4 linked regions of the Rattus norvegicus genome follow. The protein of the gene in region 3 purifies or fractionates together with the protein of the main gene of each other region. This does not show direct contact. Links are inferred from orthologs where the notes say so. Each region holds a gene or a part of one and is shown on either strand. Other genes may lie near its edges.

The links.
Region 1: the proteins of Smarca1 (region 3) and Bptf purify together in Homo sapiens (affinity purification with mass spectrometry; 4 studies listed by BioGRID and IntAct, with this or other methods). This does not show direct contact. The link is inferred for Rattus norvegicus from reciprocal best matches to the Homo sapiens genes SMARCA1 and BPTF.
Region 2: the proteins of Smarca1 (region 3) and Pole3 purify together in Homo sapiens (affinity purification with mass spectrometry; 3 studies listed by BioGRID and IntAct, with this or other methods). This does not show direct contact. The link is inferred for Rattus norvegicus from reciprocal best matches to the Homo sapiens genes SMARCA1 and POLE3.
Region 4: the proteins of Smarca1 (region 3) and Cecr2 purify together in Homo sapiens (affinity purification with mass spectrometry; 3 studies listed by BioGRID and IntAct, with this or other methods). This does not show direct contact. The link is inferred for Rattus norvegicus from reciprocal best matches to the Homo sapiens genes SMARCA1 and CECR2.

The regions. Positions count from the first base shown.
Region 1 is NC_086028.1:92,578,585-92,584,248, forward strand, and holds the start of Bptf (bromodomain PHD finger transcription factor), read right to left. Parts: upstream 3,830-5,664; 5' UTR 3,611-3,829; coding exon 2,968-3,610; intron 1-2,967. UniProt on the Homo sapiens protein: Regulatory subunit of the ATP-dependent NURF-1 and NURF-5 ISWI chromatin remodeling complexes, which form ordered nucleosome arrays on chromatin and facilitate access to DNA during DNA-templated processes such as DNA replication, transcription, and repair.
Region 2 is NC_086023.1:80,989,050-80,994,773, forward strand, and holds Pole3 (DNA polymerase epsilon subunit 3), read right to left. Parts: upstream 3,694-5,724; 5' UTR 3,681-3,693; coding exon 3,615-3,680; intron 3,521-3,614; coding exon 3,435-3,520; intron 3,125-3,434; coding exon 3,006-3,124; intron 2,774-3,005; coding exon 2,607-2,773; 3' UTR 459-2,606; downstream 1-458. Other genes in the region: C5h9orf43 (uncharacterized protein C9orf43 homolog), read left to right, coding at 4,484-4,544. UniProt on the Homo sapiens protein: Accessory component of the DNA polymerase epsilon complex. Participates in DNA repair and in chromosomal DNA replication.
Region 3 is NC_086039.1:131,887,693-131,892,834, reverse strand, and holds part of Smarca1 (probable global transcription activator SNF2L1), read left to right. Parts: intron 1-2,274; coding exon 2,275-2,407; intron 2,408-5,142.
Region 4 is NC_086022.1:155,627,752-155,632,893, reverse strand, and holds part of Cecr2 (cat eye syndrome critical region protein 2), read right to left. Parts: intron 4,502-5,142; coding exon 4,318-4,501; intron 2,967-4,317; coding exon 2,827-2,966; intron 2,110-2,826; coding exon 2,005-2,109; intron 39-2,004; coding exon 1-38. UniProt on the Homo sapiens protein: Regulatory subunit of the ATP-dependent CERF-1 and CERF-5 ISWI chromatin remodeling complexes, which form ordered nucleosome arrays on chromatin and facilitate access to DNA during DNA-templated processes such as DNA replication, transcription, and repair.

The sequences.
Region 1 (5,664 bases), on a different chromosome or scaffold from region 3:
ACCAACAATAAAACTAATGACACAATATCCCTGGCTTCAACAATGCAGCAGCAGCACTCCCACTGTGGATACTCACTGAAAACAAGTGGACAGACTCTAGAAGTCAAAAACACAAAGTGTAACATCCTTTTACCATCATCTGAAGAAGTAATTTGTTTCAAAAGACCAAACACTCAAGTTAATAAAGCCAATAAAAAAAGGAAAGGACCTGGCAGGCTACATAAAAGAGCGGTTTAAAGCAGTAGACTCTGGAAGCAGAGATCCTCGCCCTTAGCACCTGCTGCTCTTCCAGAGGACCTGAGCTTGATTCCCAGCACCCATGTCAGATGGCTCACGGACCACCTGAAACTCCAGCTCCAAGAGATCTGACACCTCACCTCTGGTCCCTGCAGACACCTATACCACGCGCACATACTCTCATTCACATAGACATACGCATAATTTTCAAAAATAACAATAAAAATACATCCTTTTAATAGTCCTTTTTTTTTTAAGTATACTGTCTACTGTTAGAAAGAGTTACTGGTTGAAGTGTTTATCCAAATCTAATTACACCAACTTGAGTGTCTGAAAACCTGAACATTTAAGTTATGGCACCTACTAGAGAATTATCAAATTTCTCCCCTAACAACAAGTTATCCAATCAGACTTTTTATACATATCTGCAGTGTGTGTGTCTGTTAGGAGTTACAGAATGTTTAAGGGTAAAACTTACTCCTGAAGTTATTAATCCACATAATCATAGGACAAGTGTACACAGAGGTAGACGATAAGTGTCATCAGAAGAAAAATGGCATTGAAGTATCCTAAGTATACAAGCTTGCCAAGTACTCTAGAGACAGAGAGGCAGGTGGATCTCTGTGAGTTCAAAGCCAGCCTGATCTATCTATATAGTGAGTACTAGAACAGCCAGGGCTATGTAGAGACCCTGTCTCTCAAAACAAAACAAAACAAAATAAAAACCTATTTACAAAAAAAAATTTCCCAAATTTTACATGGTTGTTTAAAAAGGATCTTTAACCACAAATTGCAATTTAATTCAGCATTTTAATGGCCTTCAACTGATCGGTACTATTGGCCAGGTCTTCAAGGAGTTAAAAGTTAGCTTAACTGCCCAGCCAAAATGCCTGAGTCCTAACCCAAAAACTAACTTCCCCCACTGCTGTGGGCAGTCTTCAGTTCGATTCTGAGCTCTTGATACAGATGCCCAACATGTTGTTTCTTACAGTAAAAACCTATAAAAGACACTCTAAACTAAGTAAGCAAGAAATTAAACTTGCTAAAAAATGGCCTCCCGGGCTGGAGAGATGGTTCAGTGGTTAAGAGCACTGACTGCTCTTCCTAAGGTCCTGAGTTCAAATCCCAGCAACCACATGGTGGCTCATAACCATCTGTAATGGGATCTGATGCCCTCTTCTGATGTGTCTGAAGACAGCTACAGTGTACTTATATACAATAAATAAATCTTTATTAAAAAAAAAAAGATAGCCTCCCTCCAAGCCCATAAAATAGGCAACCTTCTTACAGTCAGGCAAAAGAAATTGGCTTTTTTCACTTGGTGTTAACCAATCTAATCTGGCTTAATTCTCATACTTGCAGCAGTTAGGAACTTATAAAAAACGAAAACACTTACATTTAAGCACTCCTAGTACCCTCATCGTCCCTGAAAACAGTAAGACAGACTCTCCTAGAAAGACCCTATGTCCTCATTTACTCTGCAAATGTCCTTACAATTAGACCTTAATTTTATGAATCCTGGTTAATAGAGACATAAAAAAAAAAAAGCCTGACAGTCTGTTGCTACAAGTTAAGGACCACCCCCCCCCAGTCCCATAACTATTCATTTAATACAAAGGAGCAATTGCATGTGTGTCTTTTACTTGAACAAGACACACATCTCAGGGCCAACCTCAAGAAATAATGCGAAAAAACATCCGAGAATTCACCACTACTGATGAAACCCACTGCTGATCCAGGTAGGGCTTTTTCCTCAGAAACAGAACAGCAAGAAAAAGTCCTGTCAGGTTCAAGCTGACACTTCTAGACCGTGACTTCAAAAAGTTCATCTTTGGCAATTGCGCCTAGATGATCAACCACACATCTTCGGCAACAGGTGCCACGAAACTGCATCTCCCACGCAAAGCCAAGATCAAACTGGTTAGGACACACGGCCCCCGTGGTGTTAAACTTTTATTTGGAACTTAACCAAAGTAATTTTAAATCGGAAGGATTGACAAATTTGGTTTGGTCTAGTTCTCTGCTTTGCTCTTCAATCAGCCATTTACCAGCAACTGTTGCACGCGACCACGAGGGCTCACTCGAAGAACACAAACAAGCGCTCAGGACCCCAGGAAGCTCCCTGCTCACCGAAAAACAACCCTTCCCCCAAAACAGTTACCAAACTATATAACTAGGGGATAGGAAAGGAAGCACGTCTATGTGTGCTGCCACGATCTAAATTCTCACTTTTAAGGACCAGGTCATTTTTCTTTCAAATCTACAACAAAACGTATTAGACATGCAACGGTTTGCAAAGCAGGAGGCTTCTTTCATTGCAAAATAAATAAATAAAACACTCATACCAAAACAAGGAGAGAAAGACGAGCTCAATGGATACGTGTGTGCCAAAGTTTCAATCCTGACTGGTGGAGACACCGCACTTGGCACAAATTTTGAAGAGGAAAGAGAGGGAGGGGGGGAGAAGAAGAGCGAACGAGTGTGTGGCCTGCAAACTGCAACAATGCAATCTCCATTTTGAACAATGCGCCTCTTTCCTCTTGCAAATCTAGTTTTGTTTTGTCTTTTTCTTTTTTTTTTTTTTGTCACTAGACGCGCCGTGGCCTCCGCGTGGGGGACAGGCCGGGAGTGGGGGGAGCTAGGAAGCAGGATGCACTGCACTCGAGAGGGAGCAAGCCAGGGGGAGGGGAGGAGGTGGGGAAGGAGTCTCCAGGCGGCCTGGGTGGGTACCTGGAGTGCTGCTGTATGTACTATGGCTCCTGAAGCTGCTCTCCGTGCAGTAACTAGCGTCGTCGTCGTCGTCTTCCATCTCCTCCGGATAATCGGAGTCATCGTCGTCTTCTTCCATGTCATCTTCCTCGTCGTCCTCGGAATCCTGGGTCTCCTCGGCGTCGCCATCCTCCTCCTCCTCTTCGTCCTCCTCCGAGACCATGTCCTCCTCCTCATCGTCGTCCTCGCTCTCGTGGTCATCGTACACCACTTTGTTGACGGCACGGCGGGCCGAGGTGGTCCGGGCCAGGTGGCCGCCCCCGCCCCCCGTCCTGCCGCCCCCGCCTCCTCGGCCCCCCCGGCCCGGGCCGCTGGCGCTGCTGGCGGAGGCCGGCGGCGGCGGTGGCTGCTTCCTGCGGCCGCCCCCCCTGGGCGAGCTCAGCCGGGTCTTGGGCGCCACCTCAGCCTGGGCGGCGGCCCACCTGCCCCGACTGCTGCCGCGGTGCCGCGAGCGCAGCCCCCCGATGGGTCCGGAGGCGGGCGGCGGCGGCGGCGGCGGTGGTGGTGGCGGTGGTGGCGGCGGCGGCGGCGGCGGGGCCGGGGCGCAGCGCTCCGCAGCAGGAGCCGCGGGCTGCTTGGGCGGCCTGCCCCGCCGGCCCCTCATGTCGGAGCCGCGGCTTGAGGGGGGGGGAGCGGAAGGGGTGGGGGAGGGGCGCCGGGGGGCGCCGGGGCCGAGGGGGAGGGGAGGGCGCCGGGGCCCGGGCGGGAGGGGCGCGGCCCGGCAGCGGCGGGGTGGAGAGAGAAGGCTCAGTCCGAATTGCCGGGGCCCCGCTCCGGATCGCCTGCAGCCGCCATCTTGTTTCTTCCCTCTCGCTCGGTGACTGGGGGAACCGACAGCGGCCGCAGGCCCGGAGCGCGGTCACGTGAGCTGCGCCGCCCGACGAGCCTGGGACAGAGCGAGGCAGCGCGGCGGCCGCTAGGGGGAGCGCGGGAGCGGCGCGGCGGGGGCCGGGAGGCCCCGGAGCGCCCCTGCGCGGCTGGACGGCGGCGGCGCAGGGGCGAGATGGGTGGCGTGGGGTGTCTGTCCCCCCAGTCTGGTGTCTCCTCCTGAGAGACGACCCCCCCACCAACTGGAGCTCAGGGAGACCTCGATGCGTGTCTGTCCAAATCCGGGCCGGAAAACGAGCTTCCCCCAAGTCACTGGTTCTTTTGGGGAAATTGATGCAGAAAAAGCGGAGAGGGGGTTCTCGCGGGGAGGCGCGTCCTAGAGACTGAGGACAGTGGCCACGCAAAGCCACCCACTCAGGGACAGGAGCTGGAGATAAGTCAGTCCCAATACAGAACTCCCAAAGGCTTAGATCTAGAGGGGCCTGAAGTTGTTCCAGGATTGCACGCCTGGAGCCACACCCCCAGGGTGGTTTCACTGACTTTCCTGGAGTCCCCACCCTACCAGCCAGGGTTAAATTCCAGAGCATGGTTCCTTGCGGGCCTCCAGGCACCTTTCCCACTTCCCAGCTAGGAACTTCCACGCCTCAGCCAGAACTTGTGATAGGAAGGATGGTGTCCTGTCTATAATTGGCTTCTCAAAGTTATGTGTTTGTGTTACCTGGAAATAATGTCTACTTGACAAACTACCAGTCTTGGTTTGGCCTAGGGAGCTAGTCACCAAGATAAAATTCCAGACACATGCACCAAATGTCGCCAAATTGAGGTGGCTCAAGACAGTGTTCTCGGTGTGGCCTCTGGAAAGAAAAGAAAGGTTTTAGGAACCTATATGAGTGCTTATTGATAGATGTGAGTACCAAAAAAGTGATTTGAAGAAAAATAGTTAATATGATTCAGCCCACCAAATGGCTAATTACAATATGGTTCAGTGAATAAACCTGAAAATTGAAAACCAAGTATTAGGGTAGGAGAGATGGCTCAGTGGTTAAGAGGACTGCCTGCTCTTCCAGCGCTCCTGAGTTCAGATCCCAGCAACCATGTGGTGGTTCATAGCCATCTGTTATGAGATCTGATGCCCTCTTCTGGTGTGTCTGAAAACAGCTGTAGTGTACTCGCATACATGAAATAATAAATAAACCTTTTTTTTTTTTTAAAAAAAAAGCAAGTACTAATTGCCTACTAATTTATCACTGATTCACTTTACTTGGGTTGATCTCTGAGAGTGGTACCAAAGTAAAGAAAGTGAGCCCTATGAATTCTTTGGTAAACAAAGGCTAAAGTTTTGTTCAAAGACTACAGCTATAGGAATGCAGGCCCCAAATAGGCAGGTCTTCAGATCTTCCTTGATGATAGTGGATGTTTTATTTTATTAGGACAGGGTCTTGCTGTGCAGCCCTGGCTGGCCTAGAACTCACTATGTAGACCAGGCTGCCCTCCAGCTGGTAGAGATTCACCTGCCTCTGCCTCCTGAGTGCTGTGCAAAGGTGTACGGCACCACACACTGCGATGGTGGGTTTTTACCACAGACTCTCACTGTGAACTCCAGGCTGGCCTCAAACTTGTGATCCTCCTGCTTCAGCCTCACAAACTCTGGAATTACAGACAGGTCCCTCCATGCCTGTTCCAATCTTCTCTATTTTTCAAGAGAATATGAAGATTTTTATCTGAAACATGTTTGTATGTTTGATTTTAAATAGAGTGATCTAACCAGGCATCAAACTGGGCTGTGGGTTGACACATGTGACGCCATGAATGTGTGTGTGTGGACAGAGA
Region 2 (5,724 bases), on a different chromosome or scaffold from region 3:
AGCTCTAATACCTTGCGGACTTTCTCTTTAAACAGTGTTAACTTCCCATAGGTAAAAGTAGGGGGCTAGGGCACAAAACAATTTTAAAGGATTTGTCTTTATGTGTACAGATGTGTTTGCCTGCATGCATGGCTCTGTACCAACCTCCTGCAGTGACAGGAGGGCAGAAAAGGGCATGTAGCTATAGAAGTTGTGAGCTGCCATGTGGGTGCTGGGAACCAAACCCTGGTCCCCTGGGAGAGCAGTCATTGCTTTTAACTGCTGAGCCATCTCTTCATAGCCTCCAAGTAGTTTCGAATGGATTAGAACAAGAGCTCTTCCATGGCCCAGATCCAGGTTAGTCTCTGTTCATTGTTTAAAGAGATGAGAAAGTCTGATGGAAAACCTTCAGAATCCAGATGCCATTATGAGATGATGTAGGTGTGATTGAGAAAAAACTGATGGATGACCTCAGAGTCTTTCCAGATGTTGAATTCTTTACTTTTAAATCCAAACCTCCATTCCCAGAAAAGGTTTCTCTTAGAATGTTATAGTTAAGCGATTGGGCAGGACAAACCCGAGACATGGAAGAGTTTGGTTTTTGTTTTGTTTGAACATGCTAGGCAAGTGCTCTGTGACTGAGCCCCTTCCAATTCTTGACAGCCTTAGAGTGGAGATTAGATGGTAGGGTAAGCCCTTCTTACACAAGCCTTGAATAACAGGTTTAACTATGGATTTGATCTCACTGAAAGCAAAGGTATATTCTAGGAAGATCTACTTGGCATATAGTTATACATTTGAAACTGAGTTCAAAGGAAATCACAGGATTATAAATGGGACTTGAGTAGGTCTAGCACTGTGCTTATGGGAATTAAACAATGTTTCTGCTGTGAAGGAAAAAGCCTATAAACCAAAGGACCACTGGGGTTCTTTGTGAATATGACTTGAGAACTGTGTGTACTGGAGATACAGAGCTGTGGTTGAGAGCTAATAGAGGCAACATCTATGGATAGGAATTGATACTTGAAAGCACTTAGAACAATGCTAGACACTGGAAGAGCTTAGGAAGTGGGAGCTAGTGAGATATACAAAGTAACCAGGAGAATCTCAGGAAGAGCAGTGCCCTTAAATTGTGATTACTTATTCACCTGCTGGTAACCCAAGAAGACACAGGACTCTGTATGTGTGCTGAGGTTAGGGGGTAAAAGAGGGGTGTCTTGGTGAGTCCTTTCCAAAAGTACATTGTGTGGGTCATCATTTAAACAAGAATTTATTTGTAGAAAGCATTAAAATCTTCTCAACAGTCTCCAGTCACTTTCAACAAACTCTTCCCTGTATTTCCCTGACTAGTTAACAGTGTTCAACTATATTACATTACCTGTCAGCCTCATGTGCACAACTAAGACAGAGAAAGTGCTTGGAGCACTAAATGGGGAAAAGAAAGGCCAACAGGCACGCTCAAAGCTGCAGCAGTGGTGCCACATTCCTGAGCACCGTTTCTCTCACCTTCAGGGTCAGAGGTGCTTCTCAAGTCTCTTTAAAAGACAGGAGATGAGGAAACAATCTGAGGACCTTGCACTTTATCAGAGTCCCTAGACTAGAAGATGAAATGAATAAGAGGAGGAGAAAGCAGGGCTGGGAAGCAGAGGCGGGAGAGATGGAGACAGAAAGGCTGTGCCTGGAGGAGATAAAGTCTCTGGAACTTGCTATGAGTTCAGGGGATAAAAAGCAGCAGCCATCATCTGAGAGGTGGACTAGAGAAGAGACAATCTGGGATTTTATACCTTCCAAGAGGTGGCACTAGGTTCTACAGTGGCAGGCACTGAGTTACCGCCAAGTTTAAGCCACCTGCTTTTAAGAATTGGCACCCTTGGGGTTGAGGATTTAGCTCAGTGGTTGAGCGCTTGCCTAGCAAGGCCCTGAGTTCAATCCTCATCTCTGGGGGGGTGGGGGTGGGGAGTTGGCACCCTTTTTTGACAGATTCTAACCAACACTCAGAATTTAAGAGTATATGTCTTAGGAGTGGAGCCACACCAGAGCACTGGGCATCTACAGTCACTACAGGACTACAAAGCTAAGTGTAGAAAGCCAGAAGCCAAGCAATGCTACCATCGAGTGAGGAGATTTCCTTATTCTCTCACAGCTTTTTAGTCATTTCCTAAAGAGCAACCATTCTGAGCATTAATATCTATTGTCAATTACTGTACAGTCAAACAGGGTGACCATGGTCCAAGCCCCATTTCCCCCTGACCGGTTAGCAACTCTGCAACTTGGAACGCAGCAAGAAACATGTTATTACTTTTTTGGAGGAGCAGGGAAATAGGATCAAAAACTAGCTAGCTATACACTTTAAGTAAACAAGCAATACCAAACTATGTAGTCATTCGGAATCCCTTACACTAATAAGGCATAACCTGCAGACTGATGAAGCAAAGCTGGTTTCTGTAACTCAGACGCTCTGAGTTTGGGAAGAGCTAGCTAGCTTTGATCTTTCTGGTCAGTTTTTATTTTGATCTCAGGCACCGTTGCGGAAGATGGCTCTGCCTTGCAGGGAGAGGCTTCACATAAACACATCTCAGTATCTGAGGGTCCCTTCCACCGTGTCAGAGTCTGCCCACTCTCTCCAGTCAGTTGTCTACCTCCTCCTCTTCGTTCTGTTCTTCCTCATCCAGTCTTTCTTCATCTTCATCCTCCTCCTCTCTGCTTTTGTCCTGCTCTTCGCAATCTTTTTTGTCTTTGTCCTTCTTCTTTTGCTCTGAGGCTTCCTTCTTGCCTTTCTGCTCCCGCCTGTATGCTGTAAGGAAGCAGGGGATTATTGTTTAATTAGACAAACCGAGTGAGGCACCAGAGGAATAAACAGGCCCATATCACATATTCGAAATGGTACCAACTCAACAGAGTGGAATCATGACCAGTCCTGGACCAGTGAATGGGACCTAATGGCAGTAGTATTGAAATCAGGTGATCAGGGAACAAAGGATGAACATCTTTCACGTGGTTTAAGAAGCAGAAGAGCACATGGATACCTTCTAGCGCTTCTTTCAATGGCGTTACGAACCGTTGGAACTCCATCTCTTCCATGGCTGACAGTACATCACTGGCATTGAGAGTCTTGCGCTTTCCTTTCATTGCAAAGTTATTGGCACTGGAAGAAAGAGCAAAGCCCTTCAGAAGCTTGTCAAAGTGGTGGGGACATGAGACAGCCAGAGATGGGGTGGGAAAAGCCACATTTATCTTAGATGAATGGGTTTTTGTATGGCACAGCTCAATTCATCCCTTCCCCGTACAAAGGGCTACGACAACCGTCTTGTTTAACCTGCCTCAGAATTTGTGAGGCTGCAGGAGAGCTGTGAGTCGCTCTCTAGTGAAGCAGGGAACTGGGGCCTGTGGGTTCCAGGACACGAACGCAGGGTTAGGATCCCGCTGCGCCTCCCTTCCGCCTCTGCTCGGCTTACCAGGATGTGGCATACAAAACGAAAACACTGGCCGCGCGGGAGATGGCGCTTCGGGCCTCCTTGGAGATGTTGACACCGTCCGGTAGCTGCAGGGAGAGTGGAGATGAACACACATGCGGATTCTGTTAACTTTCTGGCACACGTCCGCCCTCGACCCATTCTCCAGCCCGAGCAGCTCACCGCCTCCTTGATGATCCTGGTAATGACGGCGTTGGGCAGATTTAGGTCCTCAGGCCTCTCCGCCATTGCCTCCGCTTGGGCCCTACCCTCCTCCTCAGGTCTCCTCGCAGACAGTTCTGGTGTCTGGACTTCCCGCGTCGCTAAGATATGACCCTCGGAAGCTTCCGTCCTACCCTACGTTGCCAGTGTCCCACAGTGCTTTGCGCACCACAACTTCTCTGCTACATCAACCCCGCCACAAGTCTCCAGGGTAGCCCAGCTTTTCCATGTCGCAGTTGTTTCGGACCATTGAGGTTTCCATCCGCTTCCACCGCATCCTGGACGTTCCACTCCAGGCTTGTTTCTTACTACACATCGCTGGAGCTTTCGGACTAAACTAAGTTTGACTCTCTGAGGTTTCCGTCTATTCTCCCATCGTGCCGTGCGCCGCTGCTAGGCAACCGTGCGGCCTGGTGCTTAGTTTGGAAGGGGTAGGCGTAGACTGAGCCCGACAAGGCAGGACTGGGACCGACGAGTGGGCGGGGCCTCTAGAAGAAGTGGGCGGGGCCAAGACTTGGGAGTGCTTTCGCAATCTCAGTATTGTCCGCCCCCAGAGGCTCAGAACACAGCCCTTTGGAATCTGCTTTGATCCCGCGAAATCGCGGACTACGGACACTTGAGTGGCCCTCCCCATCCCTTTTTTTCCGGAACTCAGTGTAGCTTTTCATTCAATTCTACTACACCGAATTATGCATTAGAATTGTCCATCTTTAATTTCATTCCCTTCACAACTTTGTGATAATTGTATTAAGAATAACTTTTATCTAAAATTTCGTTTAAAAAAATGCTATTATTCGGACAGCAGTAACCTGGGCAATCTCAAAAGCTTGATGAGACTTCGCAGCTCAATTCGGACTGGTTCGGTAATGAAAGGGCGAAAAGCATTTGACTGTAAGAATAATGCATTGTATTCTCATTCAAAAACCCGTGTTAAAGTATTTTTTAATTCATTATGTGAGTCATCTTACATTTTTCTTATCAAAATCATCATCACTTGAGTTAACATTTACAATGTCGCTTTAAGTTGTATAATTTTCATATTAAGCACAGAAAAAAAAATACTCCTGAGAACTAATGCTTATTTCCTTCTTAATTTTTCTTTCTTTTTTTTTTTCTTGAAACATGTTCCAAGACTTTTTCCTATTTTTAATGGAGACGTTACAAAGAAACATTTTCCTATTTGGAGAAACAAAACAAAACGATCCAACAGTTTTAGGGTGATGATGCTAAGGGATTGTTCTGATGGAGAGAATTCTGCACTTAGAACAGGCCTGTCTTAAGGATGTCATAAGCCTTAGTTCCAGCCACCATTTAGCTAGAACTGGTGCTGTCAGGCATTTTGATCTAGGAGAAAAGCCAGAAATCTAACATTATAGGACCATTTCAGTTTTTAAGACATGGGCTAAAAGTGCCTGCCAAGATAAATTACTCCTAGGCCAGGTGCAGCCCAGGCCACTAGATCCCTATCTCTAATTTAAATTAGAAGCTGTTTAGAACCAAGTGTTTGTTTATTGCTATTCTCTATGTCCCAAACAGGTCCTCTCATATATTTGACAGTCAATAAGTATAAATAGAAGAAGAAAAGGACACTGTCCTTAAAAGTTAAAAAGGGGGGGTTGGGGATTTGGCTCAGAGGTAGAGCGCTTGCCTAGCAACCAAGGCCCTGGGTTCGGTCCCCAGCTCCGGAAAAAAAAAAAGTTAAAAAGGGGACAGGGTGAGATGGCTCAGTGAGCTGTGTAGTCTCTGGGTTCATTACAGGATGGCCTTCCTGTTAACCTCCTTGTGTGTACCATGGCACCCATGCCCACCAAATAAAGGGATAAAATATAATTATATATTAGGAGCAATAAGGTAGTCGTAGTGACTGCATAGCATCTTTAAAAGGGAGATTGATAATAGCTTAGTATAATTTCATTTACTTGTCTCTCTCTATGTATAGTGTGTGTACATAGATATGTGTGAGCATGAACATTCACATGGTGCTGATGTGGAGGTCAGAGGACAACTTTGGAAGTTGGTCTTTCTTTGCCTTCTACCTTAAAAGAGGATCTCTTTTTGGCTGTTTACAGAA
Region 3 (5,142 bases):
CAATCAATAGAAAAAAGAATAAATACCCACTTTTAGTGTATACAGTTGTCTGATCTGACATACCCATGAACACACATTTTACCACATATCTTTATTTTTATTTTTTAGAAAATTCCCTTTGTAGAAGATGCTCTCTATAAATATTGGTTGAATATATACATGGAAAACAAAAGTGTCAATTATAAAAAATAAGACGTGCCTTTTACCAATTATAATAATGCTAGTGAATCCAGATTTGAATTTTCTTAAATAATAATTTCCAACATATACCTAAAAATTAATTTTTTTGATTGACTTGCTCCCTGAAACTGTACTACACAACTTTTTTTGTTTATGAAAAATTCCTTTTGAAAGAAGTTAAGAGTTCCCAAGAAAGAATGTAAATACAATAATGAGAAATTCCTGAAGCATTTTCATGTCATCATCATGTAATTAAATAGGGAAAGTTTCCACCTTAAAGCTTTCAAGTAAGTTTTGCTTTAAAAATTTTTTTATCACACTTCTGAAATGATTTCTGGTAAGATACACAAAATGTGAACTTATGACATTGTCTTAGCCAGCTAAATTTATTTCTTGAACAATTTTTGGAACAATGTTCAAGGCACAGTAGTAGAAAATTGTCCACCGTAGTTGTTAGCTGATAGTTTGAAATGTTTTTCACAAAAAGGAAGGATTAATTCTTGAGGTGATGTATAAAGAAGTTGTAGAATGGGCTTTACAGTATCACACTGTGTCTCAGGAATAAGAGTTAATTAAAAGTAAAATAAGAGTTTTTTGTATTTATATGTTGATACAGGGCTTTTTCTTTTAATATCATAATTTTATTGAATGAATTTTGACAAAATACTTTCATAAGTTTTTGAACAAATGCCTGTAAGTCACCACAATTTAGCATGAAATACAGTTGCAGTTGGCCGAGTTTTAAGAACAACCACAGAATAAAACATTTAAATATTAATGTTTGCTTTTATTTTAATTTCAAAACTTATTTCCCGAGCACAAAAATAAAGTTGTGCCCTTTGAATGCTACACTGCTTATAAGATATTCTGAATATACAGTATAATGTGAGTATGTAATCTCAATTGAGATAATTGAGTTTATAATTAGAAGCATAATCAAGTTTTTTGTCCTTCTGAGTTGAATTTAAGCCATCTTTTTCCGATGCTACAAATTTAATGCTTAAGTTTTCTTGAGTTTCATGTTTCCCACAATGGCCTTGAATTCACTCTGTACTTGAGGATAACCTTGAACTTCTGATCCTCCTGACTTCATATCCTGCCTGTTGGAATAAAGGGGCATGTGCCAGCCACCATGTCTGTTTTATGTGATGCTCTGAATTGAACACAGGGGTTCGCCCATGTTAGGCAAGGTTCCTGCCAACTGACCTACAATATCATTGATGGAATAATAAAATTGCAAAGTGACCTAAAACACTGGCCGTTACATATTTTAGTAAAAAAGTTCAGATGCTTGAGTACTATATTTACAGAGGTCCTATTTATGAATATAGTCTTTAAAAATCATGTTATTTATTATTATTAAAAGAGGCGTGTGCATGTTTAACATCTATGGAAAGGCCATAGGACAACTTTTGAGAATCAGTTCTTTGCTTCTACAGTAGGATCCGGGGCTTGAACTCAGGTTTTCAGGCTGGTATGGCAAGCAATTTCAACTGCTGTTCCATTTGCTGGTCCTTATGAGTACAATTTTGAGCAGAAATTATTTACTCATTTTCGTCATGAATGATTGAAAGAATGTCTTCCTTTCTTTTTGGATTTTCTTTCAGTGTTCTTTCTTTTTTTTTTTTAATTTTTAAAAATCTTTTTCAGTGTTCTTTCAATTCAATACATCCACATCTACCTCTCTCTCTCTCTCTCTCTCTCTTAATTTACATGAGACCAGATCTGTGGGAAAAGCCATCGAAACACTGAGATATCAGAATTCAAGCATTTATGTTAAAATTTATATTAGAATTGTATTTTAATGTTGTGGGCATCAGAGAAATATGGAATTAAGACTACGCAATGTCTTAGGATCATAAATCAAGATAAAGTACCTGAAAAGTACATTTTCTTTAAAATAAAAAAAGCAGTTACTTCTGTAGCAGCTCAAACTCAGCTTTTGGTTTGACATTAAAGAAATGAACTTTATAAAAGGGCACATGTTAAGTATTTTAAACTGCTTTTCATGCGACATTGTACAGAGATAAGTGGGATCGTAAGTGAATTTATTAATTTGCCATCTACTGATGATGTTTAAATTTTTATTCTTAGGGTTTCACAAACTGGACTAAGAGAGATTTTAACCAGTTTATTAAGGCTAATGAGAAGTATGGTAGAGATGACATTGACAATGTAGCTCGAGAGGTAGAGGGCAAGTCCCCTGAGGAGGTCATGGAGTATTCAGGTTTGTATGTCACTTCAAACATCATACTTTAATTTTAAACGTATACATATCTTTTGACAAAAGATTTCTTTCTTTTTATATGTGAGTTTGTGTCCATGTGGATGGGACCTGTGTATAAACAAGTGCCTATAGAGCTGGAGTTACAGGTTGTGAGCTGTCTTATGTGGGTGCAAAGAACCAAATTTTGGCCCCTCTAGAAGAGCAGCAAGTGCTCTTAACCACTGAGCCATCTCTCCAAACTGTCAGGCTTCTGGAAAGAAATCTCATTAAAATAGGTTAATCTATAGGTTATTTATTTGATGTATATGAGCACACTGTAGCTGTCTTCAGACACACCAGAAGAGGGCATCAGATCCCATTACGGATGGTTGTGAGCCACCATGTGGTTGCTGGGAATTGATCTCAGGACCCCTGGAAGAGCAGTCAGTGCTCTTAACCGCTGAGCCATCTCTCCAAACCCTGTTTCTTTGTCATTAATTTAGTTGCGTCTTTGTTCAGAGATGTCAAAATGTTTTTGTGAATGAGATGTAAGTAAAGATAGGATATGATTGGCTAGGAGACAACTAAGTTTGCCAAGTAAAGCATAAACAAAAGTGGGTACTGCATGGGTTTTCTATTCTCTCATTTCACTGATCTGGTCTTTTAAAAGTCTTGTCCTGCGGCTTCTGCTTTAGCAGTTTGGATTAGTCATTGCACGTCATCTTTGAAGTATGGAGTTCTTATCAGGCACATTTAGAGACTCAACTGCCCTCAAGGAATTAAATCAGGTAGCGGGGGGCCTTATCAACTTAAGGCAATTCAGAATAGATCTAAAAAGATTTCTTGGCTAAATCTGTTCAGTGGCCCTTGAATCATTTCCCTCTCCTACTCAGCTGTGTCTTTAACCTCAATCAGAATCAGAATAGCTGTAGAGAAGCATGTGGAGTTATTATTAATTCCTGTGTCAGAGCATACCTAAACTGCCAGGCTTCTGGAAAGAAATCTCATTAAAATAGGTTAATCTATCTGTTTTCTATGTGTAGTTAAATTTCAAATAGCCTGACCTTTCAAATTTGGTCTGAATATTAGCTATTTACAGTTTGAAAGAATTTTCCATAAAAAGAATGCAATGTTAAAAAGTCATTGTATAGTTTCTTTGTTCCCTTCCTGGCCAGATATTTGAGATAACTACTGAAATTCTGTGTTTATTAGCAAAAACCAAAAGAAAACGTTAAAAACTCATAAATAAATCAAAGTTTAATCATTATAACATATAGCTTTTAGTTTATTTAGAGTACTAGCTAATGCTTAAAGAAAATCAGTTGTAACTAGAGAACACCTACCTACTCTATTTTCTTTCATGGAAACCTGAAAGGGAATTTAGAAGTTAATTTTGTCTGGATTTTATTTCATATAACATTGAATTCATAAACAGTAGCCTGGCAGTACTATTGACCTTATGGTTGGAAACAATGAGAGCTTTGGGGGAACAATAGACCATGGGAGAGATAGATTTTCATGAAAGTTGAGTGAAAAGAATGTAAAGGGACGTGGCATGGGTGTGGGTAAAAGATATCAAGTAGCCAGGCATGGAGATGCATGCCTGTGATCACGGCGTAAGGAGTCCGAGGTAGGAGAATCATGGGGTTGATGGCAGCCTAGTCTGTATAGCATGTTTGTGGTCAGCCTGGGTGTAGCGAGATCATGTTTTAAAAATATAGACTAAGGTGTCCTAGCAAGGGTCTGAGGTTCTACTTACGACTCTGAAATAAAAAAGGGAGGAATGAGAGAAAGAAAGCAGGAGAGAAAAAGAAAGATACTCTGAGCTGGGGTTTTAGTGCAATGATAGATGTTCCCTTAAAATTGTCACTAAACCAGTACCAGGAAATAAGTGTGAAAGACACAGACAGTAAAATTTTCTGAAGAATTTTCTTACTTCTACTCTCAAGTTCTATGGAGCAAACCCAAGGCCTTAAAGTCCAGGCAAGTGTTCTATGCTGGTTCTGCACACACTCCCAGCCTTTCTGAAGAATTTTCTTCAGACTTCGGGGAGATGACAGGACTGTTTAATTGTTTTTCATCGTCATGCCAGAGGCTGGGGAGAATTGAGTGGGCTTATTTGATTGATTGGTAGGAGAAGAATTGTACAAAATTGGGTGTTCATGAGTATATTGTATTTTTATGTACGAAGGTATATGCATGAGTGCATGTGTGTGTGTGTGTGCGTGGGTGATGGAGGTGCTAGTGCGTGTATGTGTGTGTTGAATGAGTAACTTGGAGGATGCATAAATGAATATTAATTACTTATGCAAACCATCATATGCTAACACACCTTTCTTGATATCCTCTAAAATGGAAGAATTTTTCAATGTAGATAATGTCATTAGAAGGCCTTTCACTGAAGTCAAAAGATGTGACATCTTAATGCAACTTGGGGATTTGAATATCTTTCTGTATGTGCCCAGTTAAAATCTCTCATCTTTTAAGAAACTATAGGTGACTAGAAATATACGATTAGTGAATGATTGCAGATATAACCAACAGCTTCTGTAGAAATAGTCACTTCGTAGGAAAAAGGTAATAAGTTTATTTTTCATTTTTGCATACTAGAAAGCTGTATTTACATTCATATGAATCTCACTTCTGTTTCAGTTCATGCAAAAGGTTTCTTTTGTATCATATTTAGGTAAAAGGGTAACTTAAGTGCACTTAGTAACTGGATATGCCATGTACACACAGCGGACACCGTATCTGCC
Region 4 (5,142 bases), on a different chromosome or scaffold from region 3:
GTAGGTCAGATGTCAAGGAGTTTTCTTCCTGCTTTTCACTGAAACACGGGAAAAAGAGGAAACATTTAAAACAAGACGATTACAAGCCATATTGGTTTGGTCTTTCTTGTAGGAATGGACCCAGTAAACATAATGGTGGCTGGGGCTGGAGTCAAAAGTTAGAATTCAAAGTTAGGATGAATAATTCTAAAGAGAAATAATATTAGAATGAAGGGTAGGCTTAATGCAGAAAACGGGAGTACTGAGAGCTAAGTGAGCTAAGTCTCAAGGTTATGGCAGCACCACAATGAAGAGAAAAATGGTAGTCACAACCTGGTGCCCTCATTCTGTGACTCCAAGCTATGCTGGAAAGGAGAAGCTTAAGTTACCCTTATCTAAGGAAGATGGTAAGAACATGGGCTATGAAACTGCACTGCCTCTGCTCCAGACGGACACTTGCCAGTAGAGGGTAGTATAAGCCCATGCATACCAATACAATAGTTCTACCTTCCCAACATTAAGGTAGTTAAAAGGATTTCTGACTGTGTAAACAAATGCTCAATATATAGGTCTCAAGTAACTTCAGGATGTCTTCCAAAATGCCACTAAGAAGAAATAGGCAGTTGTAATCTGCTTAAGTTTAACAGATCTTATGTAATAGCCATGTGATTTTAAGAATCCTTCCCATTACCACCTTCTTTTGATTATACCCTTGCTTGCTATGGAGTCCAGGCTAGCCTAGAACTTAGGATACTCCTGCCTCTGCACAGGACTTTTTCCTTTTAGGTAAGAGAGGGAAAAGAAAAAGAAATAACTGAAATTGCTACTGAAAGGATAGCTAAATTAAGTAGAACTTCTAAACTTGTGAGAACAGGCTTTCATTCTGTTACTAGAAATGGTTAAGGCTCTAGTTTGAAGAAAAAGCAAAGCCAGTTTGCTGCCTAGTTTTTATGTCAACTTGACACAAGCTAATATTATCTAAAAGAATGGAACCTCAATTGAGGAAATGCTTTCATTAAGGTCTGGCTGTAGGACATTTTCTAGCCCATTGTGAGTGGTGCCATCCCTGAGATGGTGGTCTTAGCTTCTATAAGAAAGCAGGCTGCGTGTCTCAGAGATCTCAGGGGTTCAGGTTAGTTGAGACTGCAGGTCTTCCTATGGGGTTACTCTCCTCCTCAGCTTCTTCCAGCCATTCCTTAATTCAACCACAGGGGTCCCTGGCTTCAGTCCATTGGTTAGGTGTAAGTATCTGCATCTGTCTCAGCTAGCTGCTTTTTGGGCCACGCTAGGCTCCTGTCTGTAAATGCACCATAGATAGCATCAGTAATAATGCCAGGCCTTGGAGCTTCCCATTGCGATGGCTCCCAAGTTGGACCTGTCAGTGGACCTCCTTTCCCTCAGTCTGTTCTCCATTTTCGTCCCTGCAGTTCTTTTAGACAGGAACAATTAGCTGGTATGAGTCCCTCGACACATATACAGCAGGACTGCCTGGTTTGGCCTCAGTGCTTAGACAGTGGGGAGGCCTGGCAAAGGGGTACGGATGAGGTGAGGATGGGGACCTCTTCTTGGAGACAGGGTAGAGGGATGAGGGACTGTGGGAGGCCAGACCTGGAGGAGGATAATGACTGGACTGTAAAAAAAATAAAAGCAATTTAGACAGACAGACAGACAGAACACAAGAAGAGGTTTGGAGGTAGGGAAGGGGGAAATGACATAATGACAATCTCAAAAAATAAAACATTATTGTTAAAAAGATAAAAGCAGGCTGAGGAGCTGGAGAGTGGCTCAGTAACTGGAGTATTGGCTGCTATTCCAGAGGACCTGGGTTTAATTCCCAGCACCCATATAGTACAGCTCACATTGGTCTATCAATTCAAGGTCCAGTGGAGGCGACTCCATCACACAGACATACATGAAAGACAAACACCATGACCTCCTTCATGCACAAATAAATAATAAATATGAGGTGAAACTAAGGTTCCTTACAGTATGAGTCTATGAAAATGGACCAATGAGATTTCGTACCTGGATATAATCTCCTCCTGTAGTTTTTTTCGTTTTGGAGGCCTTCCTCTTCTTTTGCCTGTTTTTCCAGGAACATTTGAGACATTTTTTTGCCTTTCACTTTCCCTAAGAAACAGTATCATTAAATAGAAATGTTCTGGCATAGTACTAACAACTTAATATGATTTCTGTATTAGTAATTACAGTGTTTTCTGCTACAGGGATACAAAACTGGATTATGCAAAAATAGAAGAAACAGGAAATAGAGCAATTTCTTTTCCATAAGGATTATCAAAATGTGGAACCAAAATCAAAATGTGGAATCAAAGCAAACTGACATTTACTGTATTAAAAACAACCTAACACCTTCCTAAGTACTGTTATAATATCAAGTACTGTTCACAATAGTAAATAAGTCTCAGTAAACCAGAGCATCACTCTAGATGCCTCAGGAATAAGGCCGCTGCTTATTTAAGAAGCACTTAATCCAAGGCCACACTTTGCATCCTATGAGATTCTGCCATAGGGTTGTGGAGCCTGAAAGCAGATTAATAATCCTAATAGGAAAAGGCTACTCAACGACTGCTGCTTTACACAGCCTGTGACCGTGCAGGTGCTTGTCTGCAGCTTCTCCATGTTCCAATCACACTATTTTTCACCAGTCTTGTGGCAGAGGCTATAAAGTAATTCCTTTGTATTTCAGTATGAAACTCTTTACCATTCTGTTGCAGGCAACTAATTATTGCATTGGAAAAAAGGAAAGTTTTGTATTGTTCTGATACATTAACTTTCATAGCATTTTTAACAGAGCAGTTTTCACAACCCTGACATCAGAGACAGTACCTGCTCAAAGAGAGTTCTCCATTGGACCTTCCTTGTACTGGGTCTTCTTTGTACATTCGTGTCCCATAAAAGTACCAATAGAGGGCACCTGAATTGTCTTCACCTAGAGGTTCAACTCGGAGACTGTCTGCATCCAGACCCTATGCAGAAGAGGAAAGCAGATTTGAAAAAAATGAGTAAAAACAAGAAAGAGGAGCAAACTAAATAGTCAACTAAAAAAAAAAAATTTTTTTTTTTTGGTTCTTTTTTTCGGAGCTGGGGACCGAGCCCAGGGCCTTGAGCTTCCTAGGCAAGGGCTCTACCACTGAGCTAAATCCCCAACTCAACTCAAAATTTATACTCAGATACACCTCATATTTTAAAATGCCAGTGTGCTTTATGCAATTTTCTATCGTGCAGATGAAATACAAGGCAGAACAAAATGGCAAGGCATTACCTTCTATGATGAACAAGGTGAAGAAATTTTAGATGTTCCCTATACCCAACCATGGCTTCCACAGTTAGTTCACACAAAAAGAGGAATCAGACTATGGTTTAGAATTGCTATCTATGTGAACTCACGTCAAGGGAAGGACAGTCACACCAAGTACAATCAGAACTCTCAATACACTTCTCTCACTCTAAGCCAAAACAGCCTTATACTCTCAACAATCCTTCTGCCTCAGTCTCCCAAGTGCTGGCATTAGAGGCCCAACAGGTGTGAGCCCCTATCATGCAAATTGCCAACCAGATCAACCAGATGTTCTGAAAGCTTTGCTTCATGAAGTTTTGTACTATACCTTTGCCATAACCCACAGCAACTTTTAAAGAAATGTTAATTTTTAATTCATGTGTACGTATACATTCAGGTAACCATGGAGGAAAAAAAGAGGGCATTGGATCCCATGAAGCTGTAATTACAAGCAATTGTAAGCTACCCAATGTGGGTGCAAGGGAACTGAAATTGGGTCTTCTGGAAGACTAGGACTCCGAACCACTGAGCCATCTTTTCACCCAACATAGCACCTTACTTATTCCAGCTGAGATCCAGCAAAACAATTCCCAAAATACTCCAGGGCCAGATATGCACTAGCCTTCCCACTGTTACCACAAATGCTCAGCAGAGACTACATTAACTTATATGACTTTTATGTGTCTGTGCACAAAGCTCAAATAAGAACTGTTCCATTTAATCATCTGACTTAGTGGGATTAGAAATTACTTCTCACCCTGAATAGTTTGACTGTTAATTACAGAAAAAAATTCATTGCTGTTTTGTATGAAGACCTACAAGTAGGTTCTCTTATCTGAGCCAAAATTTAAAGCCATATCCCAGCACAGCTGGCATTCCTGTGGCCATGTGGGTATGGCTGTATATATAGGTGTATATATTGATTATGAGCACGAATACTACCAAGAAGAAGCTAAGCTCTTGCTTCTTGATACTTTCAATTTTCACATTCAAAATGCTGGCTTTTTACTCTCTAGAAAAGGCGCTTGCTAGACAGGTACCTTGAGAAGATCAAAGACATCATCCGCATCAAGCCGGTAATCACAGAGGCGATGCAGGATCTCCACTCGAGTACGCAGAGGAAGGTCTTGGAAACTGGCTTCTCTCAGAGGATTGGGCTTTCCTTCTTCAAGCTCCCAACGGTAGTTGATGATATCTTCCAGGTAGCTGTGGAATGTCTGAGGCCTAAATCAAATGGCCCCAAATACATATATACATCAATATAAAACAGAAGACAGAGAGAGGAAACTGATAGGTTGACAGTTTATAAAGGAACTTGAAACCTGGGCTGGAGAGAGGGCTCAGTAGTTAAGAGCGCTGATTGCTCTTCTAGGGGTATTGAGTTCAAATCCCAGCAACTACATGGTGGCTCAGAATCATCTGTAATGAGATATAAAGTCCTCTTTTTGTGTGTCTGAAGACAGCTACAGTGTTATAATAAATAAATCTTAAAAAAAAAATTGAAACTCTTTCATTTAAGAAGTATGTACTATCATTTTATAAAAATCCCAAAGATAAGCTTTCTCATATAATTAGTTATGTTACGCTCGCTAAACTTCAGGTGGGAAATCACGGTCAATGGTATAAAATGCAAAATCCAGGCAATAGTCTCATTGCTTGTCCATACTATTAAGGCAGCTCACAGAGTGCCTATAAATATGAGCTTTAGAATTGGGGTATGACTTAAAACAGTATGCATATATACAAAACACCCTCACGGAAAAAAGTCTGCCCAAATGCATTTACTTATATTTCAGGTTAAGATGCAAAAGTACAGACAAACATCTTAATACCAGGTTACTCTAATGTAACCATAGTATATAATT